Linked DNA regions of Lonchura striata. The main gene of each other region encodes a partner of the protein of the gene in region 2 in a complex. Links are inferred from orthologs where the notes say so. Each region holds a gene or a part of one and is shown on either strand. Other genes may lie near its edges. The genes, in order: ERCC3, POLR2E, TAF1A and ASDURF.

What was found.
Region 1: POLR2E (region 2) and ERCC3 share a complex: the UniProt entries of both Homo sapiens proteins name them as parts of the TBP-based Pol II pre-initiation complex. The link is inferred for Lonchura striata from reciprocal best matches to the Homo sapiens genes POLR2E and ERCC3.
Region 3: POLR2E (region 2) and TAF1A share a complex: the UniProt entries of both Homo sapiens proteins name them as parts of the pol I pre-initiation complex. The link is inferred for Lonchura striata from reciprocal best matches to the Homo sapiens genes POLR2E and TAF1A.
Region 4: POLR2E (region 2) and ASDURF share a complex: the UniProt entries of both Homo sapiens proteins name them as parts of the PAQosome complex. The link is inferred for Lonchura striata from reciprocal best matches to the Homo sapiens genes POLR2E and ASDURF.

What each region holds. Positions count from the first base shown.
Region 1 is NC_134610.1:14,403,500-14,411,150, reverse strand, and holds the start of ERCC3 (general transcription and DNA repair factor IIH helicase/translocase subunit XPB), read left to right. Parts: upstream 1-4,636; 5' UTR 4,637-4,709; coding exon 4,710-4,728; intron 4,729-4,810; coding exon 4,811-5,016; intron 5,017-6,553; coding exon 6,554-6,790; intron 6,791-7,411; coding exon 7,412-7,461; intron 7,462-7,651. UniProt on the Homo sapiens protein: ATP-dependent 3'-5' DNA helicase/translocase. Binds dsDNA rather than ssDNA, unzipping it in a translocase rather than classical helicase activity. Component of the general transcription and DNA repair factor IIH (TFIIH) core complex.
Region 2 is NC_134630.1:6,510,647-6,517,747, forward strand, and holds POLR2E (DNA-directed RNA polymerases I, II, and III subunit RPABC1), read left to right. Parts: upstream 1-4,148; 5' UTR 4,149-4,218; coding exon 4,219-4,275; intron 4,276-4,420; coding exon 4,421-4,595; intron 4,596-4,881; coding exon 4,882-4,997; intron 4,998-5,375; coding exon 5,376-5,456; intron 5,457-5,616; coding exon 5,617-5,675; intron 5,676-5,811; coding exon 5,812-5,890; intron 5,891-6,024; coding exon 6,025-6,090; 3' UTR 6,091-6,098; intron 6,099-6,349; exon of another isoform or gene 6,350-6,450; 3' UTR 6,451-6,598; downstream 6,599-7,101. UniProt on the Homo sapiens protein: DNA-dependent RNA polymerase catalyzes the transcription of DNA into RNA using the four ribonucleoside triphosphates as substrates.
Region 3 is NC_134605.1:7,871,124-7,878,651, reverse strand, and holds the start of TAF1A (TATA box-binding protein-associated factor RNA polymerase I subunit A), read right to left. Parts: upstream 3,014-7,528; 5' UTR 2,941-3,013; coding exon 2,805-2,940; intron 1,340-2,804; coding exon 1,170-1,339; intron 346-1,169; coding exon 232-345; intron 1-231. Other genes in the region: MIA3 (transport and Golgi organization protein 1 homolog), read left to right, coding at 6,460-6,616, 7,306-7,439. UniProt on the Homo sapiens protein: Component of the transcription factor SL1/TIF-IB complex, which is involved in the assembly of the PIC (pre-initiation complex) during RNA polymerase I-dependent transcription.
Region 4 is NC_134610.1:30,857,955-30,865,964, reverse strand, and holds the start of ASDURF (ASDURF protein), read left to right. Parts: upstream 1-4,994; 5' UTR 4,995-5,068; coding exon 5,069-5,143; intron 5,144-7,288; coding exon 7,289-7,342; intron 7,343-7,851; coding exon 7,852-7,927; intron 7,928-8,010.

The DNA.
Region 1 (7,651 bases), on a different chromosome or scaffold from region 2:
TAGAACCTAATAGTTTATGTAGGCAATTTTCAAGATCATGTAATGAAATTATGATTTCAGACTAAGAAGGTACCAAAACCAAGGTGAAAATGTATATAAAACCCTGTAGTGGTCAGTGATTACTGAAAAGGTAAGGAAATTTAACATTACCAAAAAAGGACATTAAAGGGAAAATGTAACCAGGTTTATCTGTAGCATTCATAACATTTAAATATACTATTCTAAAGAGAAACTGCACTCTCTGAAGCTTGAAAATTTTTAGAATCTAGTTTTCTTATAATGTGATCTTTCTGTGAGACAGTGCTGGATCATGTATATTGCAATATCACTTCCTAGTTGTGATTTTTAATTACTGAACAATCAAGTTTGCTGCTTTTGTGCCTTTTCTAAAAAACAATGGCATTCAGTCATGACAACGGTCAGCATTTTGGAGCCAGGAAGAAAGTGACTTTCAGAATACATTTTTCATCATGTCTTTGACATGTCAGAAAGCTGCCAATGTAAAGACTGTACTTCTTAAATGAAGTTGACATTTTCCAGTTTGAGTGATTCTAGTAAAATTTTACAAATATAACCAAGGCTAGGCTTGAGCTAGTTTTTCATCCTAAGGAGAATTTCTCTACTGACTTAAATAACTTAGAATAAATTTTTTGAGCTAGAAATAATTTGAGCTAGAAATAATTATGTAGCTAAATCAGACTTTTACGAAGAGGTTGGCTATTACCCCCAGTGGGGTAATGTAGTAAAACAAGCTGTATACAGGGTTTGTTAAACACTTACAGGGATTCCTGGAGTGATGGTGAATGACCCCTCATTCTAGAATTTGTGAGGTTGCATGGAACTTCATGCTTTAAACTCCATTGGAGGAGGATTGCAGAGCCAAGATCCCTACTCACAACTTATTGTATCTCACTTAAAAAGCCACCAGCATTTTAGACCAAAAATTGGTCTTAATTGTTGAATCCAGTTATTAAAAAATGCCAGTGAAAGCACTACTGCTGCAGGGCTGGTTTGCTTTTCTGTAAATGCCACAATGAAGCTGTACTCTCAAGAAATAAGGGTTCAAATTCACGGTGAGTATGTATATTTTCAAAAGTCTTACTTATCTAATGATTTTTAGTATTCTGTCTGTTGCACATAATAAGTGACAAAAGCTACTTCTGTGGTACGGTTTTAATGGTGTAACTAACCACCCTGTTAGAGCATGACTCAAGGTTTGACTTGTGTTGTGTTGGTGAAAGTTGCTTATTTTTTACTTGGGTGATAGAAATATCCATTGAAGAACCCAAAAGGGTATGGATGTAATAATTGCATGGTTAAATCTACAGACTTCTTTTCTTGACAGTTTAAATATAGTATTAAACCTTCTAACTTGATTCCCAATTCAATTTGTAGCTAAATAGTCGTTTCAGTAAAATAAAATGAAAAGTTTGGGGTTTTTTTAGCTAGTGCCTTTTTCTCTGTATGCCTTAATTTTGTTCATGTTGGAACACCATATTGAAATATGTCATACAATTTCATGTCAGCAAAGCTGCCTTAGAGAATGGGTTTTTTCAAAGTGCTCAAAGCAGAGCTTGCCTAACTGCATTGAAAAGTGTGCAGGAGTTATAATCTGTAGCAGTCATTCAAATTCAGAATTTAAAAGTGAGTTTTGGCTTCCTGTGCTAATCCACGTTTTGTATTTGCATTCTGGATATTGTACACCAACGTACATGCCAGAAAGATGATTTGTCTGCATGCACCTAAGTAACTGGATTGTCAGAATTTGGCTTCCTGGCTCTGGGTATCAGACTCTGCAGCAGAGTTTCTTACTGGGCTTGAAAGCAAAGTTGGTACTTTTGTAAGTGTGGTACTGTATTAAAAGCTGTTTACTTTCAGTGCACAGGAATATGATCTGTCAAGCAAACCAACAGATTTCTTTCCTGTGCCTTTTGGATAATCCTAATCCTGCTGTTGTCTTGACTGAAAGCCTTGGAGCACCTATAGGTACAGTGCAGTACAGCAAGCCATTCTTTTGGACAGCATAGAACAATGTCTAACTGCAGCTTCAGAGACTTGAGCAAATTGGTCAGATCTACAGTTATTTATAACCAATTTCTTACTTTTTTAATCTTGAAAGACTGTGTCACACATATAGAAAAGTATAATGTATGTGCTTGAATGTAAATCCCTATGGTGTTTCTGGAAAAGCAAAAGTATTGCCGCCAGTGTAATTTCTTCTTGCTGGTAATTTGCTGTCTTGTGGCAATGACAAGTCTGCAGTGTAGAATCACATACAATTACCAAAGCTTTTCTATTCCATATACATATAGCCAAAAGTGATGTTTCATGTCTCTTATAGTGTGTATCTACCAGTAAGCTGTTGCTGACTGAGTAAAGCAGGTACTAGTAAAAAGTGATAGACACTGCCCATATTTCAGACATGTGGGTGTTTATAGTTGCTGTTTGAAATGCAAAACTCATGCTTGTATTAAAATGAAGAGTCTTCTTTTTAAAAGCTCTTTCTAATTTAATCTTACTGTTGTCATTCTAAAATTACTGCATAAGCTTGATGACTAAAACCTGGTAGCTTTTGTAGCTGGGTTTGAGCCTTGGGACATTTCAGGAGCACCATGAAGATAAAATTGTGACCTGATCTGTTTTGTGCCACCATAGTGACAATGTTCCAAAGGTGTGGGAAGCGGCCAGTCCTCTTCATGTGACAGCAAGATGTCACCCACAGTTACTTGGGTGTGAGTGCTGCCTTCAGGAGGAGCCACTAATGTGCACTGAGGGGTCAGACAGGTTTGCTATCAAGCCAAGGTTTTTGAATCAAAATCTGTGATAATGAACAAAGGAGCTCTTTTCTCATTTTATATCCCCCCACGTGGCCCGCACCATTTCTTTTTCCTTCTAGTTGGCAAAGCTTAAGTCCTGCATAGGTGGTGGCCCATGATAGCTCCTGAGTAAGGTGTGTGTCCAGCTTTAGACCAGGGAGCCCATCACTTGAACCCAGGATGCTGCAGCTCCCATTTTGCTGGTTCAATATTTGGGTTTCCTCTAGCAATATATATGTGTACGGAGTTGAGAGGTAAATAGGATGGAGGAAATTATATTTCTCATGTTTCAGAGCAGTCACACCTTGGCTAGGACTTAGATGTCAGAAACTTATTTTAAAGGGAGAGGACCTGGATTAAATGGCATAAAAATTGTATCTCATAGTTCAGCCCTCATGCTGAGTCCACAGGTCAGGAGGTCAGGGTCTTCTGCTGAGAAATAAGAAAAAGGATATTCCAGCTTGTGAGTGGATAGTCATAGGAAATACATCAGAGTTTTTTTGTGCTTTTTATTCAAAAATAGATTATCTTTTTTCCCCAGAGGTTTATATAATGTGGATATAAAAACAAGGATTGCATTTTCTTTTCTGAACAGCCATTAGATTGTCAGTTCCCTAGTGCTTGTTTCTTGTTAATACCAGTAAAAAAAGGTGGTGTCACCCTAAAATTGGAATGGTTTGTTAAAGCATAGTGTCTGTCATCTCAGACCTCACAGGAGTTGTATAATGTAAATATGTGGAGGAGACTTAGATTAATTGGAACGTAGGATTTTAGTTTTCATGAGGCTATGAATAAAAATTTGTAAATTTACTCTTTATCTAATGTACATTTTTATGTAGCCATTAAATTCTCTATTTAATCTATCAGTTTCTCACTGTAAATGTTTTTACTCTCAGTTGAATGCTGGGCACTGTTTGTAATGTATGTACACAAAGGTGTTTTTTTCTATCAACATTGACTTTTTTGCACATTTTTGGAAATATTTAATTTGTACACTGATTTAATACTCTGACCAATTGTCGATGGATGTATGAGAATCACGTGTGTGTGCAATGTACTACTGTCTGGATGTATGGGGTTTTTTATTACTTTTGAGATGTTGCTGCCAGTAACTGCACTGCTGTTGCTGCTTTACATGGAATATCTTATGTATAAAAAAAGATAAAAACAATTTAAAAATTAGCTGATGGTTGAGGAACTCAGGAGTTGGGCATTGCTTGCTGGTTCCACTGTCTAACAGCCTTCCAAACTTAAAAACAACCAACCAACCCCACCTTGTAATTCTGTGTATGCATTGAATGTGTGTGTATATATCCCAGTAATCTTATTCCACAATTTCATTTCTACATTTTTATGAACTTGTTTTTTAAGGGTACTATGTTTAGTTAGAATAATTAAATATATAAAAGCTTTGAGAGATGATTTACTAGATAAATATATTTTCAGCTGGCTGATGTTCAAAATATTTTTTTAATTTTTGTTTTTAACCATTCGAAATGTATTTGTATTTCCAAAATCAGACACGAATTGTACTTAGAAATATATTAAAACACTCTGTAGGGACAACAGTGTGATTTCTCTTTTAAGAATTCTGTACTTCAGAACGCTGCGCAATGTCACTCTCGTATTTCAATTCCGAGTTGGCTTTTTTATTGTTATTTACGGTGCGCTTTCCGGAAGTTCAATTTATTTTGTTAATTTTAAATTCTTTTTCCTCATTTCCCTCTGCCCCGGGGTGTGGCTGCCCCCCGTGTCCGAGGCCCCGCCCCGCGCCCGCCCGCACGCCTCCCCGCGGCGGGGGCGGCCCGAACGGAGGGACGGTGGTGTCTCCTCCCCTGGCGGCGCCGCCCCGCGGAAGTGACGCGCGGGCGGGCGCGGCGCGGCGCGGCGGCCATGGGCAGGAAGGAGCGCGGTGCGCGGGGCCGGGGAGCGGCGCGGGCCGGGCCGGGCGGGGGCACCTGGGGCGCTCGTCACAGCTCCCGCTCTGCTCCCAGATAAGAAGAAGTCCAAGAAGCGCCATTACGATGACGACGAAGACGATGAGGACGAAGGTGCCGGGAAGGAGCCGCAGGAGGCGGTGCCGTCGGCGGCGGGGAAGCAGGTGGAGGAGAGCGGCACCAAGGTGGACGAGTACGGCGCCAAGGACTACCGGCTGCAGATGCCCCTGAAGGCCGACCACAGCTCGCGGCCGCTCTGGGTGGTGCGTGCGGGGCACGGCCGGCCCGGGGGGCCGTTCTCCCGGGGAGGGGCCGGGGCCGTTCTCCCGGGTGGGAAGCCGGGGCCGTTCTCCCGGGGAGGGGCCGGGGCCGTTCTCCCGTGGGGAAGCCGGGGCCGTTCTCCCGGGGGGAAGCCGGGGCCGTTCTCCCGGGGAGGGGCCGGGGCCGTTCTCCCGGGGAGGGGCCGGGGCCGGGCCGGGGCCGTTCTCCCGTGGGGAAGCCGGGGCCGTTCTCCCGGGGAGGGGCCGGGGCCGTTCTCCCGGGGGGAAGCCGGGGCCGTTCTCCCGGGGAGGGGCCGGGGCCGTTCTCCCGGGGGAAGCCGGGGCCGTTCTCCCGGGGAGGGGCCGGGGCCGTTCTCCCGGGGGGAAGCCGGGGCCGTTCTCCCGTGGGGAAGCCGGGGCCGTTCTCCCGGGGGGAAGCCGGGGCCGTTCTCCCGGGGAGGGGCCGGGGCCGTTCTCCCGGGGGGAAGCCGGGGCCGTTCTCCCGGGGGAAGCCGGGGCCGTTCTCCCGGGGGGAAGCCGGGGCCGTTCTCCCGGGGAGGGGCCGGGGCCGTTCTCCCGGGGGAGGCCGGGGCCGTTCTCCCGGGGGGAAGCCGGGGCCGTTCTCCCGGGGGAGGCCGGGGCCGTTCTCCCGGGGGGAGGCCGGGCCTGCTGCGGGGGGGGCGCAGGGCGGGTGGAGAGCCTCGGGCGCGCCTGGGAGCGGCGTTTGATGCGGTTCGGGGCCGTGCGGGGACAGCCGGACGGGAGCCACGGCGGTGCCCAGGGAGTTGCTCCAGCCTCAGCAGCCTCCAGGCGGGTCCCCGCTGTCCCGGGCGTGCTGCGGACCGGGCAGGGCAGGCAGCAGCTCGGCCGGATTGTCGGGGTGGGCTGTAAAACAGCGCGCTGGCTGATGACACGAGAGGGATCTATCACTGCAGTGACACAGTGTTTGTATGTTGGGTGAAACGGCTTTAAGACAGGCTGGCCTCAGTTTCTGTAACTGGTGCCATTTGTTTTCTCTGCCCTTTGAAAGGGACGTCAGTAAACTTGCCCGAGGTCTAGCAAGTGGTGCAGCATGGTGTGAAGAGGTGGTTTCCCAGCCAGTGTCTGAACGGTGCCTGTCACCAAGTGCTGTACAGCACCTAGGGCTGGGACACCCAAGTGCTGCCTTTCATTCATTCATTCATTCATTCATTCATTCATTCATTCATTCATTCATTCATTCATTCATTCATTCATTCCTTCCACATAGAATGAACTAGGAGTTTTGTTGTTCCAGGGAAATGGGGCTGGAAGCTTGCCTCTACTCAAGCAATTTCTTCAGCATTAAAAAAGAAGGAATACTCCAGCATGTCAGTCTGGAAAAACTTTATTGATTTGGGTGTGGTTTATTCATAGTCCCATGGAAGGAACATGGACAAATCAATTCCTGGACCATTTTCAGAAGACAAAAGTTACATGTTTATTCATTTTCTTGTAAATTCATTATGAGATTCAGTTCAGCTAACACTGTTGTGCCTTCAGCATTTGTTTATTTCTGTAGGCTCCTGATGGCCATATATTTTTGGAAGCCTTTTCTCCAGTTTACAAATATGCACAGGACTTTCTGGTTGCTATTGCTGAGCCTGTGTGCAGACCCACCCACATTCATGAGTACAAGCTGACTGCTTACTCCCTGTATGCTGCTGTGAGTGTGGGCTTGCAGACAAGTGATATCACTGAGTATTTGCAGAAACTGAGCAAGACTGGTGTCCCAGATGGAATCATTCAGTTTATCAAGGTAAGGCTATTTTACTGACATTGCATTGGAAATATATCTCTTTCTACTAAGGAATTCCTTTCCTGCTGCCTCTGCCTAATTGATTTATTATTTTTTAATAATCATTTTAAATGTTTTATTTTTCTGTCATTGTTTCAAGAGAGCATTATTCTTTTTCTGTCTTTTTGCATATAATATTGCTGCACACATACTATTTTCATAATATAGCCTTTGTGGGATTTATAAAAAGTACATGTAAGTGTCTGTGTAGATAATTTCAGCCAGTACAATCGTACATGGGGAAAGTTTCCTCAGATTTGCTTTGAAAGAAAACAGAATGTGGGAAGCAGCCTGTAACAGTGGGGCACTGTGAGACAGCCTGCCTTATCCTGCAAGTGTGTCCTCACAGTCTTGGAAACACTTTGACGTTAGATATAAAAAATTGAGTATCTGTGCCTGTTGTCCCTCATCAGATGATGTGAGCATCTTCTGAAAATACCTTTTCAGGTTTGCTCTATGAGCATAACAAGTAAATGTTTTGTGGTAAGGTGCTTCCCCACAAAGACTTAAAACCTTTGCAGTGTTTGGTCCTAAACGTGGAATCTGTCTTTTGTATGTTCCTAATGATTGCTCTCTTTGTAGCTGTGCACGGTCAGCTATGGGAAGGTGAAGCTGGTTCTGAAACATAACAGGTAAATGGCTTCTTCTTCAGCTCTTGTGGCAGGAAACCCTCCCATGCCCAGCTGTGTGTGAGTGCTCTGAGGAGCTCTGGAGTCTCACAGCTGCCAGCTGAGTGTAACAGCTCTCAGGTATTATTTTTACAGCTTTTGGAAGTATTCAGTACGTTAGCTGATGTATTCTGTTTGGCTGTCCTGAGCTAGC
Region 2 (7,101 bases):
TGTGGCAGGAGCTGACCCCTGACACCCCGAGGTCACACACCTGCCCTGGTACCACACAAGTAGGCTCAGTTTAAGGCTACTCCGGTCCCTGAATTTTGTTTTGGGGGCCTGTCCTTACCCCCTTCCCTAGCTGGCACCAGGCTAGGCTCAATCCCTGCAGTCGGGGCCACGTTTCACCTCCTTACCTCAAAGTGATCACCAAAGATGGGGGAGCCAGCGGTGCCCCCCAAAGCCCAGCTGCTGCTCCGGGGGCTCCTGCTCTCCCCCAGCTCTGCTTCTCTTGACCCCAGCAGCCTTCCCCGGGCGCAGGCAGAGCCAGGCTTCCCCTCTCCACACCTTCCCCTATTTAAAGCACTGCTTGCTTGAGGCTGAATTCCCAGCAATGAGGGAAAAAGACGCCGGGAAAACCCAACTCAAAGAGGTTTAAACTCAGGAATAGCGAGGGGGAATTCCCTGCTGGGCACCCTCTGCTGTCACCGGAGCCTTACCTGGTGGCTTTGACCTTAACTTTAAAATATATGCAATCTTCCCTCCCTGGTCTCTGGAAAGACAGAGACCACCTTCAAGGAATCCCTTTCTTGCCCCAGTCCCGTGTTTTGTCAGGGTTAATAATATGTATTGTTACCTTTTAACTAAATTATTCTGCAGTTGTCCTACTGATTGTATTTTTAATGAGTCCCTGTTTTCTTCCCTGACACCTTTGTGTTGGCACTTTTTAATCTGCTTGTTGTTTGCCCTTGTTTCTATGTATATTTATAATTAAGTTGTACATACTGTAAAGAGATTTTTTAGAATATGTGCCTTGGACTAATAATTCCTGAATTTTCTACTTGCCTCAGAAAGATAATTTTTCATTCTGCTCAGTAAAAATGGAACAGAAGCCACATGTGAGATTTCTGTAACTCTCAGCTCTGTCTCTTGGTCTATCCACCTTGCCCCAGGAGCCCAGCTGGAGCTCGGATCAGGAATCCCTGGGCCAGCATCCTGCTGGCAGCTGGACTTTGTATTTCCCGTGTCACCAAATGGGTGACACTGGGGGCTGTTGTCCCAAGGCTCCCTCTCTCCCTGGGAGAAGCCACTGCTCATTGAGAGGAGGATCCTGTCTGGATCCGGCCTTGGATGAGGCAGCTCCCTCATGGCTTGGCTGGAAAAACACAGATAAAGGCGCCTCTGTTCCAGTGTGTTCCCCCAGCAGGAACTGCCACAGCTCTGGGATGTCTCATCCAGGCACTGCTGCTCCTGTTACCTCATGGAAGGAGGGCTGGGGTGACTCTCAGTGATCAGGATCCTCCCAGCATCCCTGATGTGCTGGGCTGGAAGCTCTGCAGGGGTGCCAGACCCTGGGATTTTTTCCTGGGGACAGACTCCCTGAGGGGGCTGTGGATGTGACAGGGAGAGGCAGCACTTGCCAGGCCCTGGGAGGAGCTGCAGCAGCAATTCCTGCACGGCAGAACCTGAGCTGTCCCTGCCCAGGATGGGACACCAGGGCTTGGCTGGGCACGGCCATGGCTTCACAATCACCAAGACGCTGCCCCGAGGAGGAGGAGGATGATCCTGCTTACTGTGGTCAGACATGTCCCTGGCTGCAGGGGATATTTTGCCGTGTCCCAACACGCCTAGATTCTATTCTGCAGGAATTTCTCCTGGGCAGGGCTTGTACCACTGCTGGACCCATCCCCTCTGCTGCCCTGTCCTACCAGGAGGATTCCTGGAGCCAGGAGAGATCTAAGGGGGAACAAATCTTCCCCAGCTCTGCCTTTGCCCAGGAGCCCCTTGGGAGCACGCAGCATGCTGGATTTACGATTTACACTCCCTCCTCTACACTGAGGATTATCCCTGCTCGGCTCAGGAGTTGCATAAGGTCTTGGCTTGCCAGCAAACTCCAGGTCATCAGCAGGAGCTGACAACTCCTGGCCAGCAAACTCCAGGTCATCAGCAGGAGCTGACAACTCCTGGCCAGCAAACTCCAGGTCAGCAGGAGCGGCGCAGCAGCCCCATCCCAGGTTGGGAACACAGCAGCTCGTTCCTAATGCCTTTATTGCAAAGGGACTCGTTACTGCCAGGGGGCTCCGGCTGCTCCTGCCCACAGCGGCCGTGGGCCCAGAGCTTCTGTCCAGCAGTTGCACGCCTCGGGTCAGGGCTGCCCCACCAGCAGCTGGATTGGAGGCAGCCCGTCATGGGGCTGGAGGAGGCTCCGTGGGCAGCAGGGTCGGGGCGGGCAGGGGGACAGCGGAGCAGAGCTACAGGTAGGCAGGCAGGTCCTTCTCGATCACCTGCGGGGAAGAGGGGAACGTTGTACCCCCAGAACATCCCCGGCCTTTCCCTCCTCCCCAGCAGCTGCACTTACATAGGGATCTTCCATGGGGCTGTACCTCTTCACCACTTGACCTTCCCGGTTAATGAGGAACTGTAGGAATGAAGCAACCCCTGGTGAGCGAGTCCAGGGAGCTGATGGGGGTGTGGCAGCTGTAGCCCCCACAGATTCACTTCCCCCCTCAGCTGTGCTCTGGGCAGGGCAGGGGTTCCCAAGGGTCTCTAGACACAGGAACCCCTGAGGATACTCCTGCCCTGACACCTGGAGTACCAGCACAGAGCAGAGCCCAGCGTGAGGCTCCCTCCTACATCAGGGACCCCCCTCAGATCCTCAGAGGAGGCAACCAAAACTACAAGCGTCCTACCTTGGTGAAGTTCCATTTTATTGCACTAAGAGAGAAAGAAACAGGAGTGAGTTTTGGGCAGAAAAGCCCTTCCTTGTGCCCAGCCAGGCCCTGAGCCAAGCCCTCCCTGCTGGCTGCAGGTCCCCAGGGCTGTACTTCCCACACTCACTTGCCCAGAGTGCCTCGCCCTTTGGGCTGCTCCTTCATCCACTTCCAGAGGGGGTGAGCATCATCCCCGTTGACATCGATCTTGCTGTACATGTCGAACTTCACCCCGTAGTTCTCAGCAAATGCCTTGATCTGAGCGTTGTCCCCGGGCTCCTGAGGGGCCGCACCAGGACCGTGAGGCTCCCCGAGCCATCCCAAAGCTCCCAAGGAACCCGAGCCCCCCGTACCTGCTTCCCAAACTGGTTGCAAGGAAAGCCCAGGATGCGTAAACCCCTCTCAGCGTATCGGGCGTGCAAGTCGACAAGCTGAGTGTAGTTTACGGCGGTTTTGCCTCACTTGGAGGCTACGTTGGTGATGATACACACGTCTCCCCTGCAGAGGAGGGGGATGAGCTGCCCTTCCCCGCAGGGCACAGGTCCCTCACCCTCTCAGGAGAGGCGTGCGGGTTACGCAAGAGCCGCTGTGGCTCAACCTCGCCCGGCGCGGCCCCGGCCCCTCCGTCCTACCGATATTTTTCCAAGGACACGTCGTTGCCGTCGATGTCGAGGGCGTGAAAGTCGTAGATAGCCTTGGCCGAGCGCCAGTCATCCGCCTGGGCACACTGCGGGGCGGGCGCGTCACTGCGGAGCTCCGCGCCGGCCCCGCCACCGCCGCTGCCCCCGGGGGACCCTCGGAGCCGAGCCGCGGTCCCGGAACGGGCCGAGCCCCCGCCGCCCGCCCGGGCGGCCCGCGGGAGAGACCCGGGGCCAGCCGCGGTCCCCGGGCGGACCAGCCCCGCTCCCCGGGCGGGCAGAGCCTCGGTACCCGGGCCCGGCCGCTCCCCCGGGCCCGGCCGCTCCCCCGGGCCCCCGCACTCACCATGCTCCGCACCGGTCCCGGTCCCAGCCCTGGTCCCAGCGCCGCTCCCGCCGCCGCCGCCGCCCGCGCGCAGCACAGCACGCCCCGCACCGCGCTGGCCCAGCCCATCCCTCACAAACCCCGCCCCTTTCGGGCATATCAGCCAATCGGCACGCATAGAGGCGGCCTCGGCGGGATGATGGATGGAAAGCTGACCAATAGGAGGGCAGGGCGGGCGGGGTGGCCGCAGGGGTGTTGATCGGGACAGACCACGAGGGCGGGGGGCAAGGACGGAGCAAAGGGCGGGGTGTGGAGCAGGTGCCGCGGCTGCCGGGCGGCGATTCCCTCCCGACCCGGCCGCGGGTTCCGAACAGAGCCGCAGCCACCCAGAGACCCACGCTGAGAGCAGCAGAGAGATTTCTGTTCCCTCCGGAGCCAGCGGAGGGGGGCAGCTGGCGGTGGACTACATCTCCCAGGAGGCGCCGCGGCTGAGGCCCCCCGCGCGCGCGGGGGTAGGCGGCAGCGCGGGCAGCCCGCGGGGGCCTCGGCGGGCAAGATGGACGACGAGGAGGAGACGTACCGGCTGTGGAAGATCCGCAAGACCATCATGCAGGTCCGGGAACGGCGGCGCCGGGAGGGCCCAGCCTGGCGGTGGGGAGTTCCGGCGGCGCTCTGGGGCCGCAGGGTGGAGGTGTGGGACGCGGAGGCCGGTTCGCAGTGCCGGTTCTCGGTTGCTGAGGCCGGCGCTGCTCCCGCAGCTCTGCCACGACCGCGGGTACCTGGTGACCCAGGACGAGCTGGATCAGACGCTGGAGGAGTTCAAGGCGCAGTTCGGCGACAAACCCAGCGAGGGACGTCCCCGTCGCACCGACCTGACCGTGCTGGTGGCTCACAACGATGATCCCACCGACCAGATGTTCGTGTTCTTCCCCGGTGAGCAGCGCCCGCCCGGGCGGGTCCGGTGAGCCCGGGCCTGGCTGAGCCCGCAGGGGAGATTCAGAGCACAGGGGTGACCCGGGTCTGGCTGAGCCCTCAGGGGACATTCAGAGCACAGGGGTGACCCGGGTCTGGCTGAGCCCCCAGGGGAGATTCGGAGCACAGGGGTGACCCGGGTCTGGCTGAGCCCTCAGGGGAGATTCGGAGCACAGGGGTGACCCGGGTCTGGCTGAGCCCTCCTGCCGCGGACTCTTGGTGACCCCGGCTCTGGCTCTTTCCTCAGAGGAGCCCAAGGTGGGCATCAAGACCATCAAGATGTACTGCCAGCGCATGCAGGAGGAGAACATCACCCGGGCACTGATCGTGGTGCAGCAGGGAATGACCCCCTCGGCCAAGCAGGTCTGTGGGGACAGCACCGTGTCCCACTCAGCAGCTGGGAAGGTTTTCCTTGTCTGTTCCTTAGCCTTGCTGCGGGTAAATGAAAGCCCTGAATTGGCCTCCAGAGAAAAGCTTTTGCTGGAACCCGTTGTACTGAGCACAGGTTCTTTTTTAGCACCCAACTGTGTTTATCCAGAGCAGCTGGTCCTGGTGGCAGTGGCACAGCTGAGGGCCCACGGGCAGTCAGGAGGTGGGGGAGGGAAAAAGAGATGTTTCCCTGTTCCAGGAGCTCAGGGGCTTACCCAGGAGCAGCTCTGAGCACTGCCAGAGCCACCTCTGAAAAGTCTTTTTACTGCCAGGGCTGCCCCAGCCACCTCTAAAAGGGCTTTTTCCTTCCAGTCCCTGGTTGACATGGCTCCCAAATACATCCTGGAGCAGTTCCTGCAGCAGGAGCTTCTCATCAACATCACGGAGCACGAGGTGAGCGGTGGGAGGATGGTCCCTCCCTCGTGCTGGCTGCGTTCCTGCTGCTCCCAGACTCCTCCTCCTGCTCCCTGGCTGGGCTGAGGGACACACTTGTCCTTTTCCCCCTCCCAAACACTTGCTGCCTCACCTCACTCAGTCTCTCTGGTGTTTGCAGCTGGTGCCAGAGCACGTGGTTATGACAAAGGAGGAGGTAACGGAGCTGCTGGCCCGATAGTATCCTTTGAGTGTCCCCTTGCTGTCCCTCCATCCTGTGATGAAATTCGGGCTGAAAACCCCTCCTCCTGCCACGGTTCATTTCTGGTTTGTGAGCTGCCAGCAGTCCAGAGCTTCTCCTTGACTCCCAGCACAGCAAGCTGAGGGAGAACCAGCTGCCCAGGATCCAGGCTGGGGACCCCGTGGCCCGGTACTTCGGGATAAAGCGTGGCCAGGTGAGAGGAGCAGGCTGAGGCAGCAGCTTCCTGTGGTGGGACAGGGAGGGGATGATCCTGGAGGGCATTTTGGAGCAGAACAAGTGTCTCCTTCTCCTCCTCCTCCTGTTGTGAGCTCCGTGTCTGCCTTGCAGGTAGTGAAGATCATCAGGCCCAGCGAGACGGCGGGCAGGTACATCACCTACAGACTGGTGCAGTGACACAGTGGGTAAGGATGAGGGGACCCTCAGCTCAGGGGGGCTTTGGGCAGTGCCAGGGATTGTTCCAAGGTCAGTGTGAAGCAGCTGCTTCCAGGGAAATGTCTCAGAGTTTTAAATGGCTCACGGAGGGAGCTGTTGGGGAGAGCAGGGCAAGGCTCCCCTGCCACCTGTGCCTCTGCTCAGGCTGTGCCCGTTGGGATTTGGGGTGTTCAGAGGGACCTGGGGCAGGAGGTGATTCCCATCCCTCCTTCTCTTCCAGGTGTGAGGAGCTGGGTGGCTCCCAGCAGCAGTTCATGGACGCTCGGAGATTCCTGAATTTAGGGAATGCCAAGGAAATCAAATCCTCTTCCCTCTCTGCAGCCCCGTCACTGGGCCTCATTCCACATCTTGGACTTCGTGGTGACCCTTCAGTCCCATCCAGGACTCAGCCATGGGAGGAAATGAGTGGGAAGGGCTTTTCCTTCCCTGTTTTATGGGCTTTTGTTTGAAATAAAGGTTTGTACCCTCAGTGCCGCAGCGTTGCTCAGCCTCTCCCTGTGGCAAAGCCTCGAGACTCTGCAAGTTCCCATCATTTTCATTGCGTTTGGAATCTCTTCCTGCCAGGATTCTGCATCGTGGCTGGGCTCTGCAGAGCCTTTAGGAGCTGCCCTGGGCAGTTTGGAAGCTGCAGTTCAGACTCATCCTCATTCCTTCCCTGATCTCCTGCCCTGTCCCCTGGTTTGGGACCCCGGTGTTCACACGCTGCCATGGAGAGTTGCTCATCACCCCCAGCTGCACTCATTTGAATCCCAGGAGCCTGGGGGGCTTTAAACTTCACTTGTTGTGGCAGAAACACTTGGATTTGGCCTCTTGTGGCAGGGGGAGCCTGGAAGAGCCTGATCCTCAGGACAAACACGGGTCAGAACACGCTGGTTTTATTGTTTTTTTGGGAAGTTTATCAATGTGAACACAGCAAGGCAGCATTGTGCAGCAGCACAAGCCTGTCAGGACAAACATGGAATCGACACAACC
Region 3 (7,528 bases), on a different chromosome or scaffold from region 2:
TAAGCACTTCTAAGGACTGAGAACATACATCTGTGATCAAACATACAGACAAATGAGATAAGGTTAGGTATAAAATGACCTTTGAATATCATGGAATTGGTAATTCAAATGTTGGGTTTGAGTTTTTTTGACACTGATGTCAGTAGTACATTTCAAAAGAGATTTGGAAATTAATATTCAAGTGTTCAAGTAAAAGTGAAAAATCATCAGGGCTGCTTTAAGTACACTCACCTTCAAGTACCTTTTTACTCCTAAAGTTTTCATCTGTTCCATGAAACAGCTGAACTCTTTCACACTGCTCTGGGAATGATGCCACAAAATTTCAGTTCCTATTCTCCAAATCATCTATTAATGGGGAGAAAGAATATCAAAACCAGCCTTAGTACAAAAATGGCAACAGATATCACATATACAGTCTTACTAAACTTACAGTTACTGTAGGACATGCAAAATGTACATTTGAACTGCAAATAAAATATACTACAAAGCATTATCTACTGCTGTAGTAACCTACCTACTCATCCAGTAGGACTTTTAGAGTCATTCAGTGGGTGGTTCAGAATTGCTCATTCTAAATGCAGCACTGTAGGAGAGCTTAAGAAAACTGCATGCCTGAGGGTTCCTCCTTCCCTCACTGAAAAATTATGTTCTTCTGTGATATGACCCCACTAAAACACCAAGTATACACAACTCTTTGAACTTAAGAGCAAAGATTATTTCCAGTGTAGCTCCCCAATTACACGCTTTTGTTTCCAAGGTCTGCAAGCTAGCCATACTCAAGTATTCCATTTATTTAAAAGCTCTGATGCTTTTCCTTCCACCTGATTCTATCTCAACACCTGCAAGGAGTTTTGCAGCTACTGGAAGAGCTGGTAACAACCTAAATAAGCCACCAACTTGCAAACAGATTCCGACTGATGACATGCCAGAACCAAACACATTTACTGCTTTCCTATTTTAGAGAGCTACTTTGACTTTTCATAGCCACACTGCTGATGGAGTGAACTTATAACAAGCCAAATCTTTTTCTGTTGTGTCAAGGATCTATAAAAAAAAAACAAGCCTATGATTAGCTAATTAAGACAGCTGTTGGTCCTGAAGTATATGGATGCTGCTTTGCAAGTATTTTTTCAACTGCAAAAGAACTCAGATCAGGAACATGGGCTCACCTCTGATGCACCAATGCGCTCTCTGGAATAGTCCTTCTCTAGTGACTCAACATAGCAGGTCAGAAACTCTGCAGCCCTCTTCCACTGTTTTTGGAGCAAGGCATCCTGAATGTAACTTAAACACGCTTCCTTGCTCTTCTTGAAGTTCAACTTGTGTTCATTGGAAGACACTAAATAAACAAGAAAAAAAAAAAACCAACCAAAAAAAAAAAAAAATCAACAGAGCCCACAGCAATCACAGCCCTTATTCAGACAGCCACATGCTCTCCATTTCAGCATCTTTCTTGCATGGATACTACATAGAGAGTCATCTTAAGTTATACTGTTTTGAAGATAAACACATCTGTTAATCCACAGGGGAGCAGGACTATGGGACAAGCTGGAAACATGATATGGAATGGCATTTTCCATAAGCAGTACATAGCTGTGCTTGAAATTCCCATTCATTTGAAACAGTGAATAGCCACTTATGTCACACTACTGCCCTACCAGAATCAGGGAGCCATGGTGCTTTGGTAACTTCACAGTACATTTTGTCATATTTTGGGGACTACTTTCTTCACTTATTAATCACCACCTAAATTGGTGATGCCATGGTGCTGCAGATTTGCATGCACACAAACAAACAGACCATTCCAGTACCAAAGGCTAAACATTTCCCACAAAGTTATATGCAGAGAATTATTCTCATTTTAGTACAAGGCTGCAAAGAGGCCCCTTGGCCTTTTTACATCACTAGTAGTCCAATTTATACTGAAACCAGCATGAAACTGAAACTTCATTCCCATGAAGTGTGTTTAAAGCTCACGGCTGTATGACCCTACAACAATGCTCATCCTCATCCATGAAAAGCCACCTGCAAGGCACATGGAGAGCTCATAAAGACACTCCTACCAGGATGCTGTAGGCAGGTGAATAACTCAAACAATGGCTAAGTCAGGTAATCACAGAACCATCAGGGTTAGAAGGGATTTCTGGAGATTATCCAGTCTAACCACCTGCCAAGGCAGAGTCATCTGGAGCAGGTGACACAGGAAGGTGTCCAGGTGTGATCTGAAAAAGTCTCCAGAGAAGGAGACTCCACAAACTCCCTGGGCAGTTATTACAGTGCTCTGCCACCATCAATGTAAAGATCTCCCTTATGATGAGGTGAAAATTCTTGTGCTTTAGTTTATGGCCACAGCACCGTGTCCTGCTGCTGGGCACCACTGAAAAGTGTGGCATTATCCCCTTAGCACCTGCCTTTAAGATATTTATATGCACTAATGAATTCCCCTCTCAGTCTTCTCCAGACTAAAGAGGCCCAGCTCCCTCAGTCTCTCCTCATAAGAGATGCTCCAGACCCCAAATCATCCTTGGTGTCCTCCAATGGACTCTGTCGAGGAGCTCCACGTTTCTCCTGCACTGAGGAGCGGGCACAGCACTCCAGATGTGCCTCAGCGGGGCTGAGCAGAGGGGCAGGATCCCCTCCCTCCACCATGGGCCCTCCTGCCCTCACAAAATAACCACTGCGAAGAGGTTATTTCGAACCTCCTTCCCGGCCCTAGCAGACGACTTGGCGGAGAGAAGCTAAAACCACTCCCAGGGCGGCAGGAAGGCGCTCACGAAGGGAACGCACAAACGCTCCGCCCTTACCCGGCGGTGGCGGCAGGAAGGGCAGGTGCAGGGACGCGTGCAGGGCCGCCTGAGCGGCGGGAGTCCTCCTCCTCTTCCTCCTTCTCTTCCCGTCCACCACCACCGCCTCCGCATCCTCCTCCAGGAAGCTGTCCATGGCGGCGCGGGCAGCCGGGCTCGCACCGCCCCGTGCGGGGCTCGGCCGGGGCCGGGAGATCGCGCCCGGCAGCGCGGCGCGGGAGCGGCCCCTGCGCATGCGCCAGCCCGTGAGGGGCGGGACGGGCGGCGCATGCGCGGCGTTTCCCGCTTCCCCCGGCCCGTGGCGCCGTGAGGGCTGCGGGACCGGGGTGGAGCGCGGGGTGGCAGAGGGGTGTTTATTTCTATATCTGCCGCAATCAGCGTGAAAAGCCGTGGCTAATGCGCTGGTTGCTCCAAAAATTAAATTAGCGAGCTCCTCCTGTTACTCTTTCCTACTTTCCCGTTCCTTTGTAAGTCATAACGTTCTACGGAAGGAAAATATTCCGAATCAATATCCTGTGCACTGTAAAGCAATGATACTGCCTGTGCTCCTGCTGGATTTTGGGAGTCCGGCTGCCTTAGCCGCAGCATCTGGTTTATACAAATCTGTGCTGGAACTTGTTTCTTTTAGCCACTTTGGAACTGAGTTTGCCTTGGACTGTTTTGATGTGTATAAAGTCCAGTTTACTGCATAAGAGTACTCACAGAGTTGTTGTTTTTTTTTTTGTTTTTCTTTTTCCTAAACTGCCCTGGCATGGGAGAGTGAGTAAATAATAAACTGGCTCAGATTAAAGGTTCATGTGATGCAGTGTTTTGGTTCAGCTGTGATCAATAACCAGTGTTGGGAACAGCGCAAGGCAGAACAGTTGTGTTGTGTGCAGCATTTAAACACTTAAACCTCAATATCATACCTTAATATGGTATTTAATAAATAAACTTTGGGAAAACAGAAATTTCTCTTTGCTTTTTCTTTATTTTTAATCCTGTGTTCTTCCAATAAAGGCCAGCATTTCAGTTCATAAGTATTGTTAATGGATAATTAACTTACCTGATTGACAATAATAAAATGTTACTTAACACCACATGTTTATCAGTGCCATTTTTTTTTTTACTGTTCTTTATAATTTGTACCTTGTGTCAGTGCCTCACTGATCACTGGTGTTGCCCAAGTTTGATGCCATTTCCTACAACACCCCTGATCTTCTGTTAGCTCAGTATTCTAATTTCAGAATCCAACTTATCCCCATTTTTTGGTAAAAGTTCTCATGTTTGCATGCAAGAACATTTACTTTTGGCTTGTTATTTTTATTTGCCTGTGTTATACATATGTGTTTCCTGATCCTTAGGTAAACTTAGCCAACTGATCTTGTTAATGGGTATCAGCTACTTTAGTAGATATTTTAGTGCAGAAGAGGTAGGAGAACTGCTTTTTAAGAGTAGGTGAATGTTAGATACCTCATGTACAGTGGCGGAATACATGTTTCCAAGATTGGTCCAAGGATCCTAGATCCAAGATTGATGTTGAAGACTGGAAGGAAATTTTGCTTGAAATATCTTAATTGAACTAAGTGAAATATTTTTCTTTTCTTTCACACATTGAGGAAAGCTACGTATGTTAATAAGTGGTTACCTTATTACCCTGAAATACTTGATATTGTAGGAAATACTTGACAGTTGCAATGGTAAACTTGTATATATGTATCAACTGCAAGCTGCTCATTATTGTATAATAAAGGCAGTGACTTATACAAGAAGTATGTGATTTTGTTTTTCTTCACATCTCCCTCTTGCCCTTGTCTTTGCAACCACAGACACAATTACCTTTTTTTATCTTTAATAAAGATAAGTTTGATAAATTGTATTGATGGGAAATAACAGCTCTTTCTTCACAAGAAATTGGACCTAATACTCTGGGCATTATACAACATGAAATATTAATGTTGAGGAAAGAATGCTTATCTTTCACTCATACAATTATCGTATAATGTGACTTGAATGAATTTACTTCCATATTGTAAATTGTGACAAACGTCTAGATTTTCTAAGTTAGGCTTTCTTAGAGCTTTTAATCAGCCAATATCAGTGATGTCAAATAGGGATCACCTCATTTTTTAAGATGTGAAGCACAGAAACGTCAACAAAATTGCAGGAGAGCTATAACCACTATACTGCACTAGGCCTGGAGAGCAGACATGAGCACTGGGTGAATGAACCATTGCATTTGTGTAGCCTGTGGGTCCTGGGGATACACAGGACTGTAAGAAATGCCAGGGTGTCCATGGGATGCTGGGCAAAGAGGTATCAACACTTGACACTTTTTCGTTTTGTGATTAAAATATTAAGCTATTCTAGATGGGGACTGAAAATGAAACACATATTTTTCAGAGATTACACAGTAGTAACTAAACTTGGATCTAAGGCCTTGTACAATGAGACTGTGGAAATGAGAGTCTGGAGTGAAAATCAATAGGCATGAGGATGCAAGAGGAGCACATGCAATCAGCAACCGCGATTGCTAAGTCTTTAGATGTAGCATTTAAAAGAGCTCCTAAAAAGCTCTTGGAAAAAACCCTCAGCTGTTCTGAAAATCACAAAAAAAACAAAAAAAAAACCAAACAAAAAAAACCAAACAAACAAAAAACAAAACAAAACAAAACAAAACAAAACAAAACAAAAAAAAAAAAAAAAAAAAAAACCACAAAAAAATAACACTAAACTTTGACTATCAGTTCTGATTACCAATTCATTCATTTTGGGAGCAGCTTCAGAATTTGCTCTGGAAAGTAGAAAAAAATAGAAAAAATGTGGTCATTTGATTGACCAGCAAGAGTATTCTCTTATGTCACCTGTTCTTTCTTACCTGCATCTTTTTTTCTCTTTGTCTACTCAGGCTCTTGTGCTGAACAAATAACACAGGTGTTGAAAAGAGAAGTTTGGTTCATCTGCATTGTGACTTCTGCTGTCATTTTGCCATTTTAGATCTCTAAGGCAATATTAAGGTGCTGGATGTGAAGAAAAGGCGACGGTAAGTAGTGTGAGTAGCACATCTTTCGGCTTGCAAACACTCAACACTTAAAATGTACCAGCAAGTGGAAGCTGCAGCTACAGAAGGGCAAGGATAGGAATGCTGCGCTTTCGGCTGCCCGCTGTGAAACCCGGCACTTTCCCCAGTGGGATCGCGGCTGAATGAACTCCTCCGCCCGCTGCACCGCAGGTGTAACCTCAAACTCTCGGAGGTCACCGGCAAAGTGGCGGCTGCTCCTCTCCAGCAGAGATAAGAACTGCTCGGCGGGGCAGGAGGGAGAGCAGCCAAGTGCTTGCTCGGATCTGTCGCGTCCTTACAGGGCGGCAGCTACACCCTTTCTGTTCTTGTTACTCCAGCGATCCTCAGTTGGAGAAACCCGCACAAATAAGGGGCGGGACCTTCCTTCTTTTCTGGCCTGCGAGGAGGGAAAAGTGGCCGGAGTTAGGGGTCCTGCCTCCTCAGGACCGGGATGGGGATCAGGGAGGGAGGGTCCGTGCGCTGCCCTCCTCCCGCGGCAGCGGCGGCGGGGCCGGGCTGGTCCCTCCCCCGCCACATCGCCCTCCCGCCGGCGCTGCTGACGTGTCTGCTCCCTCCTTCCCGGCCCGGCTCCCTCCCTCCGCGGCGCTCGCCGCCATGGCCGCAGCCGCGCCGCCGGAGCCCCGGCTGCTGCTCGCCCTGCCGCTGCTGCTGCTGCTGCTGCCGCCGCCGGGCCCGCGCTGCGCCGCCGCCGCGCCCGACCTGGGCCGCCGCTTCGCCGAGCGCAAGCGCTGCGCCGACCTCGAGTGCAGCAGTGAGTGGGGGCGGCGGGCGCGGCCCCGGCGAGGGAGCTGTGCGCGAAGATGCCTCCCGGAGGCTCTTCCCTGAGCCCCCTCCTTGCGCCGGCTCTGTCGCGGAAATTGGGGACAATCGAGGAAACGGGAACGCGACGCCCACGCGCGCCGTCCCTCTCTGCTCGGCCAAGTTTTCAGATCCCCGCGGCTCCGTGTTTGGTTTCCCCCACCCCCCTCCACGCAGAGCTCTCCGTTGATAAAACCGCTCTCTGGGTGTTCTCTGGGATAATTTCAGGACCAGTTCGCTGGGACACAGATGTCACCTTTCTGATTTAACATTAGTAATTAGCTTCATAGCTCACCCCTGAAGTGTAGCTCTCCAGTGCTTTGTCAAACCCTTGTCTTGCCTAGAATGCTTGCTTTACTTTTTCTGCTAAAACTTGCCTTTTTTTTTAGCTATAACTTGGCTTGTTTGTTTTTGTTAATTATAGCTAAAAAATTATTAGTTATACTTCCAATTTATCTATATTTTTATTAATTTATTAATTTCTTAGTTATACTTTCAATTTACTTTGTTATCTCTTGACCCAATCTGGAAAATAGCAAAACGATGCATGCGAGGAGGTCTTGTTTACTGCCAGTTAGCAAAGACACTTTTCATGTAAATTATTTTTAAAGTCATACTCTTCTCCGTGTTTTCTTTGGACAGTGTTAATGTGCCGAGGGAAGGCCATGCGGGATTTTAAAGGTCCGGATTGTCGCTTTGTAAATTTTAAGAAGGGAGAAGCGGTGTATGTATATTATAAACTAATAGGAGAATCCACTGAGCTTTGGGCTGGAAGTGTAAGTACTGTAAAGCATTTCTTCTGTTTGCTTTTCTTGGTAATGTGTTTTCATTCCTTTTGCCTTGTAAGAGAATGCTTGGAGTTTTG
Region 4 (8,010 bases), on a different chromosome or scaffold from region 2:
TTCTGTTCTGCCCAAGCTCTCACTCAGCTATCTGTTGTGTGCCTATGGAACGTGCTTTATGAGGCTGTAACCTATCTCAGCCAAAATTACCAAGTCCCTCATTCCAGGAGACCCATATCATGGGAGCAAAAGCAAGCTGCCTCTTCCATACCTTCAGCCCATCCTGCTCAGGCCTGCTTACTCCTCTAAAATAATCTAATCTCTGGGTTTTATCTTCCAGAAAATATCAGTTGTATGTAGTATTAAACACAGTACTTACTCTCATGGGGGCACTCCCAACAGGAAAGAGAAGCAAGCCCATAATTATCACTCCAGTCTTCTCCTGACTTCCTTGCTCAACTTCACTTACTGGGCAGTAAGTCTTCACTTGAGTGACTTCTTGACTCTTCACTCAGAGGGTTTTTGCTGCAGTTATCTTTTCTCATTAGGCAGAAATATTAGCACTAATCTGATTTCATATCAAGATGCTCAATGCAAGACAAATGAGGCATCTGTTTATCCAAAGTTCCTGAGCAGTTCCAAGCCTCTCATATGCCTGCTCTTTGGTGGCACCAGCAGAAGAGCTTCCAGCATCCAGGCACCAGGCTTCCATCTTCATACTGCAAACAAAATATTTGTTTTGTAAGACACAGCATTTGATTTTTTTAAGGTCCCTGAACATTCCACTGCTCAAAATGTGTATCTGGAACTCTGATCCCATATTCAAAGTAGTTACTGCAGCAAACCTGTGCATTGGTTATTCAGAGTACGTGAGGGACTGCCCTGCAACAGACAACCCCAAATCTCATAGTTCTGCATTTCTAAGTGAAACTAGCACTAACATGAACTTAACTCTCTTAAAGTCTAACAAAGTGCACAACAAATTGTTCTGCACTAAGGAAGGAAAAATTATGAAAATTAAACGTCAAACTGTCTTCTCAGCTACAGCAACATAAGACCTTGAGAAAGGCTCTCATTAGAGCTACTTCAGTTTTATACTGTAGAACAGAGTGAACTTGGAAACGTCTATTTTTAAATCCACTCATACTTAAATCACAGATGAAAGACTGCTGGGAGTATTTTACAAATAAGTTGTTTGGTTCAGTACTTTCAGAAGCTTTGAGAGATGCAATCAGATTGTCAAAAACTAATGAGAGACTGATGATAGTTCTCAGCTACTTTGACAACAGCCTTAAAATCTTCCATGTGAAAGTGATGAAATTCTGCTTCTAATCATAAAATGAATAATTTAATACTTGTGAACTACATAGATTTTTTGTGCAAATGAGTTCTAAGATTGCTTTGACAGTGTATCAGAAGTTAAGTGCTAAAAAAACTGACTTCAACACCGTAAAAGTGCTCAGACTTCTTCTTTTATTTGTGGTGACAGGACTTTTAAAGTAGAATGATTATAGGTTTTGCAAGGTTCCTTGTGTCATTGACAATCTAGGTACTTAACCTAAGGAAACAAACTACAACTTTGCCTAGATTCCAGATAACCGGGTGTGTAAGTTAACCTAACTTCCTTCAAATCCTGATGTCTCAGAAGAATTAGCAAAAGGTTTACCATAAAGCAAACCCAACTATTTTCAACTATTTTCGTTTTCTTAGACTGGTATAAATTAGCAAATTATTAAAATACAGGTTCAACTGTGAAATTAACACAGCTTGATGTTACAAATCAGAATCTACTTATTTGGATTATGGTGATACAGTATCTGAATACAAAATAAGCTAGTGTCAGAACTGAGGATGCTCCAAAACAGAAAAAAACCTATATAAAAGCAATATCCTCTGACTGTGCTGCTCTCTCCTCCTAAGAGACTTCATCCACCTGTCTTACATGGCTGGCCCCACTCTTGACTGTCTGAGCAGCCAGCACAGCTTCAGCTTGCTCTCTTGTGGCCAACATTAGAGCTACAATTATCCTATTCCCCTCCAAGCACCTCTGTGACTGGTTCTTCTAAAGCATGACAAGTTTCCTCAGAGTACAATCACTTACAGGTGAACCTCATAAACCACTCAGAGTTGAACCCACAATTGATTATGGTGGCTTAACATGTTCCCAAGCATCAGCTGAGAGATACAGAATTGAGTGCATGAGGATTTCCAGCCCACAGCAAAAACCAGGGAAACTTTGAGGCTGCTAAGCCTCCAAGGCAGTATCAGTCCTACCCTGTGCCTCACAGCTGGAAAATCCTCTGACACAAATATACTGTCAACATCATGAACAGAGGTCTTCAAGACTTGACAGTGTTATCACAAGGATGGCCTCACCTCTTCAGCATGGTTTTAGCAGCAGCCTTTTGGAGCTTGAGCTTGGTTATTTAAAGGTTACTGTTTTGGCCATGCATTTGCTAACAGGTCACTGCAACTTCAGAGATTTTCTGGCATCAGTAACTACTTCTGGTTTTTAGCTGTTTAAATGACTTGTTGGGTAATTTCTGTTATTTAAAAAATATTTTTAAAGATGCCAGATACTGAAAGGTGAGGGCTTTAAAAGACTGAAATATTATTTGATACTTTATTAACATTGTATCGGGCATTGTTAACCTCCAGAAACAGTTTTATGCTAGTAAAAGAAAAATAGTTTAGAGCACCGAAGTTGGCACAAGTGCACAGACACAAGCAGAATGACCAGAGATGTATCACTGAATGACATTTCCTGCTTAGCTGTCAGCCAGATGAGCTCTAAGTGCCCTCCCCAGCTCTCAGGAGTAACAGTGCAGGCACATTGCAACACCAGAACTGCAGCAGCCCTGAAACAAACTTGAATGGAGAAAATACTGCTCTGCGCAGGGAGTGCAAAGGTGCCAACATTTCCCTTTGCTGACTTGCAAACACAGCGGGTCTTATAGTGGGTTTGACTGTAATTTCAGGAGTGATCTTGTGACATGAATTCATTCATTTTAAAAGGAACTGTCAAAAGCCCACTCCATATCAGTAGAAGAATCATTAAAACCATTCCACATTTGCTATTATGCCTCAAAACCATTATCATCACTCTTCTGAAACAGTCAATAACACTGAGTGATCAGGTTTTGATTAATAAACATTAACAGCATTTATTACTGAACATAAAAAGGATAATCAGTGCAGAAATTACACTTTGACTACTGTGTTACTTGATCATCAACCTTTGTAACACATGAACAACAAATAAAACTTGGGCAGCAGAGGGTTGGGAGTAACTCAGATTAAACACATTACTCACTAGAACAACCAGTGACAAACTACAAAGCACACTGAGCAATAGCACCAAAACTGATCTATGTGACCCAGATATGTGAATTTCTTATAGAAGTCAAAGGACAAGCCCCAGAACCATTCCACCCCCTGGGTAACAACTCCCCAGCAGCTTCAGCTGCTCTGCTTTGGGACTGCTGGAATCACAGAGCACTGTGCACTGCTGAGAAAAACAGATCAGGTCCCTCACCTGTCCCTCACACAGCCCCACACCCAGCCGTGGTGAGGCAGGGCTGGAGGCACAAGTGTGTGCTCAGAGGTGGGGGGAAGAGCAGGAATGACCTTTCAGACAAGTGTAACCTCAGTTTCTCTTTCTGTTAAAAGCAAATAAGCACAACTTTTGCAAGTTAGTATATTGACAAATATTCCTATAGCCAAATTGTCTTTCTTCATCCTTCTGCTAGGAGCCAAAATCCTTGTTCTTCCTATACGGCTTCCAAAAATTTTGATCAACATTACAGACATTCCAACCAAGCTCATGGATACAACCAAGGTGCAATCTTGCTCACAAACTCTAAGTTACCAAAATATATAATATATATGATTATGTGAGATTAAAGAAAATAAAGGCAACACTCTCTTACTACAGTTGCAAATATTTCAAATGGTTCATGAAAATTTGAACTATATTTGCACTGCAGTCAGTACCACAAGGACCACAAGTGGGATAGAAATCTCATAAAATCCTATAACTGAGCAATCGGTAGCAGTCTGTAAGTTTGGATTACTCTTGAGTGTTTAGAATAATATACAATGTTTAAAAAGAAGGAAAGGTATTAAAATGAGACAATGATGTATTTATTAAGACACGTAGACATATGCATCACTGTGACATATCTATAGCAGAATGGAAGAGACAAAGAAACGTTAAGATCACCTTAGGTGGACGGTCTTAAACATCCATCTTGTATAATAATAAAGTCATAGAATCCTGGAATGCTTTGGGTTGGAAAGGACTTCAAAGATTATCTCATTTCAATCCCCTGCAATGGGCAGGGACTAGACCAGGTGTCTCAGAGTCCTGTGCAACCTGGCCTTGAACACTTGCAAGGATGGAGCTGCCACAGGTTCTCTGGGCAACTGTGTGTCTCACATCCCCCGTGTAAGCAATTTCCATCCATCCAGTATCTAACCTAAATCTGCCCTCTGCCAGTTTTAGTCCATTCCCCCTTGTCCTGTCACTACATGACCCTCTAAAAAGTCCTTCTCTTTCTTGTAGAAACATATGCTAATAATGAACATAATGAAACATACGATCCTAATGTCTGTAAATAGTGTAAATTCATATCTCTTCTGGAATACCTTTAAGCAAACCGCTTAAAGGGGTTTGAGAGCCCGCTGCCGACAGTAGCCCGGGTTCACACCACACCAAGCCGACACGCTGCACAAGGAGCACAGCTGCCAAGCCTCATTCCAAGCGTCTTCTCCACCTTGGGCCTGTGCCGATGCCCTCCCGGACCGGCTCCCAGGAGCTCCGTGGGCACGGCACGGCACGGCGCGGCACGGCGCGGCACGGCGCGGCACGGCGCGGCACGGCGCGGCCGCCGCACTCCCGGCTCCGCCCGGCCGGGGGCGCGAGCTCCCTCAGCACTCGCGCCGGCCGGCCCGCGCCCCGCGCGTGCTCTGCCGCGCCTGCTGATTGGTGTCCCGTCAGGCGCGTGCTCTGCCGCGCCTGCTGATTGGTGTCCCGTCAGGCGCGCGCTCTGCCGCGCCTGCTGATTGGTGTTCCGTCAGGCGCGTGCTCTGCCGCGCCTGCTGATTGGTGGCGCTGTGCGCGCGCGCGCCCCGGGGCGGCAGCTGCGCAGGCTGCGTGGGCAGTGCGGCTGTCGGCGCGGTCGGGGCCATGTCGGGCCGCCCGGCGCGGCAGGAGGATGGGGAGAGCGCGGCGCTGCGCCACAAGGAGGAACTGAGCCGGCGGGTGAGGGGAGGCGGCCCCGCGGGGCCCGGTGCCGGGGTCCGGGCCGAGGCGCGGGGGCTCCTGGAGCCTGCTGCCTCGGGTGCGAGCAGCGTGAGGAAGAGGAGGGAGGGTGCCGTCTGGGACCGGGGCTCCTGTGCCCGGGGTTGCTCAGGCCCCGAGAGCGGCCTGCATTTAGCGAGCCCGCGTTGCCTCGCTAATAGCTCGCTCGTCGGATTGGTATTTTGGATCTTACTGCTCCAAATTGAGCTTGAAATGGCAAGTGAGGCGCACTGAGGGTTTTTTCACAGAATATCATGAGTTTCAAGAGACGTCTAGTGGTCGAGTCTAACTAACTCTGGCGCTGCGGAGAACACCCCAAGAATCACACCGAGGGCCTGAGCACGTTATCCAAAGGCTGTTTGAACTCTGTCATGCTGGTGCTGAGACCACTTTCCCTGGGGAGTTCAATGCCTAATCACCCTCTGGGTGAAGAATCTTTTCCTTGTATCCAGTCTAAACATCCCTGACCCTGCTCCAGGCCGTTCTCTGTGGTACTGTCACTGGTTACCAGTGAGAAGAGACCAGTGTCTTCCTCTGCACTTCCCCACCTAAGGAACTTGTAGACTGCTGTGAGCTCTCCCCTTAGTCTCCTCCAAGCTGGACAAATCAAGTATCCTCACCCGCTTCTCAAATGGCTTCATCTTTATCCTTGTTCATCATTATCTGCCCAAAATGTCTGAAGATATTTCAGCCATAGAGGCAGATGCTCCTAATTTATCTGTTCCTTCCTTCCTTGTCCCCACAGCTTTGTTCAGTATGCAATCTGCCAAGCCCTGTGGAACTTTCACTCCAAAAAAACCTCATATCAATTTACCTGTATTCCAATAGAGACTACAGGGAAGCCAGAGAAGGGGCTTTTTGTCAGGAACTGTAGTGGTAAGACAAGGAGTAATGTGTACAAATTGAAAGAGGGCAACTTTGGGTTAGATACTCGGCAGAAATTTTTTGCTGTGAGAATGGTGAGGCACTTACACATTTTGCCCCGAGAAGCTGTGGATGCCCCAACCCTGGAAGTGTTCAAGGCCAGGGTGGATAAGGCCTGGAGCAGCCAGGTCTAGTGGGATGTACCCATGGCAGGAAGCAGGTTGGGTCTAGATGATCTTTAAAGTCCTTTGCAACCCCTTAATATTATGTGATTATATTAAAATAAATTACTTCTGTGTGGCCATGTATAGACAGTGATGCTTTTAGTTGCTTGGAAGCTACAAAGCTGGGACATCAAAGAGCTACAGGTTTTCACTTCTGTTGTGCCTAAGTGGCTGGTTTAGTCTGGCAGAGGATGGCTCTGCTGCTTTGCCTTGTTGGTGTTGTAGATACCAGAGATTGATGTAGCTGCTGGAAAAGTTGTAACTTTCAGTGTGCCATACAGTTTGGCTGACCTCACTCCGTGGCAGCTTGCTACTGTTGTACCAGTTCCAGGAGACACAAAGGAAGAGCAGAGAAACCCATGTTTGCTTCTAACAAAAAGCATTGTGCCCTCTGAACAGATTTTGTTTCAATTTTTGGCATTTGCAACTTCTTCTGATTACTCTTTAGCTGTGAACTCTTTAGTTCACAGCTGCCATTGTAAAAGAAAATGGGAATATCTGCCACATCTGTCAGTGCAGAACAGAGTGGTAAATCCCACTAAGGAAGTTAATATAGAAATCTAGAGCAATAAAAAGGCTCCCATTGCTCCTAATACAGTTCTAGAGTGTTTGTATTTTCATTAATTTCCTTTTGAATCTGGAGCATACCTATCATTATGAAGTGTATTCTTGATATTATGCTAATTTTTAAAAGTTATTTGATGTTTTATTAGTTGTGTACATGTTCTCTTCCGAGGGGGGGAAAATGTGCTCTCTGATTATAAATAGCTGTAGCTACTCTGGCTTCCCAGAGGCTTTTGAGGGGAGGAGAAATACCAATATATGCAACATAGCCTGTTTCTAGAGAAATTAAGTATGTAATTTTTATACTTACTTTGTCTTCATTGATTCATGTGGAGAACAGCAGCTATACATGCATGTTGCTGTCTTAAAATATCAGTAGACATGCTCACCACTGGGATTGTGATATGATGTCTTGTCTTTATCATTAAAATCAAATGCATCTTTTGGCTTTCAGATTAAAGAGCAGAAGGTTGTAGTTGATGAGCTTTCTAATTTGAAGAAGAACCGGGTAAGGATTTACAAATTTGCTTTTAACTATTTAATTTCAGCAGAGAAATTAAAACATAAAGACAAGAAGGACAACAAAATCAGAGCATGCTGTCTTTAATTTGTTGTAATCTGGATTTTAATAAACATGTGGTCTGCTGTGCTCAGAATAATTTGTCCTGCAAATTATTTGATCATGTATACTTGGGGCTTTTTTATGTTTTGAGTTATTTCATTAAAATTTTTGAGTTTATTACATGGATTCATGAGGTATTCTTACTTTTTCTATGCTTTTGTTTAAAATAGAATGTGATCCCTTGTGGATGAGGAAAAGAGAAATTCAAAATTGTCTTAGGCTGAGCATTAAATGCTTTTGATAGTACAGCATTAGAATGCTGGTGTTCACAGGGCAGAACTTACACCTTCACTTTTATACCAGGAGTGTCTCTTTGGACCCACAGCAGCTTCTGCTGCAGTGTGGTTCCAGAATCTGCTGCTTTGACTTAATACAGTGTGGGTTTTGTTTTACAGAAAGTTTATAAACAGCAACCCAATAGCAACATATTCTTCCTTGCAGACCGGACAGAAATGCTGTCTCAGTGCAAAAGTAAGTTTGCAGTGTTCAAGTATCTCAAATAGTTAATGTTTAAAAGCTTATTTGTAGCTGATTTGAAAGGTGTATTAAAATGA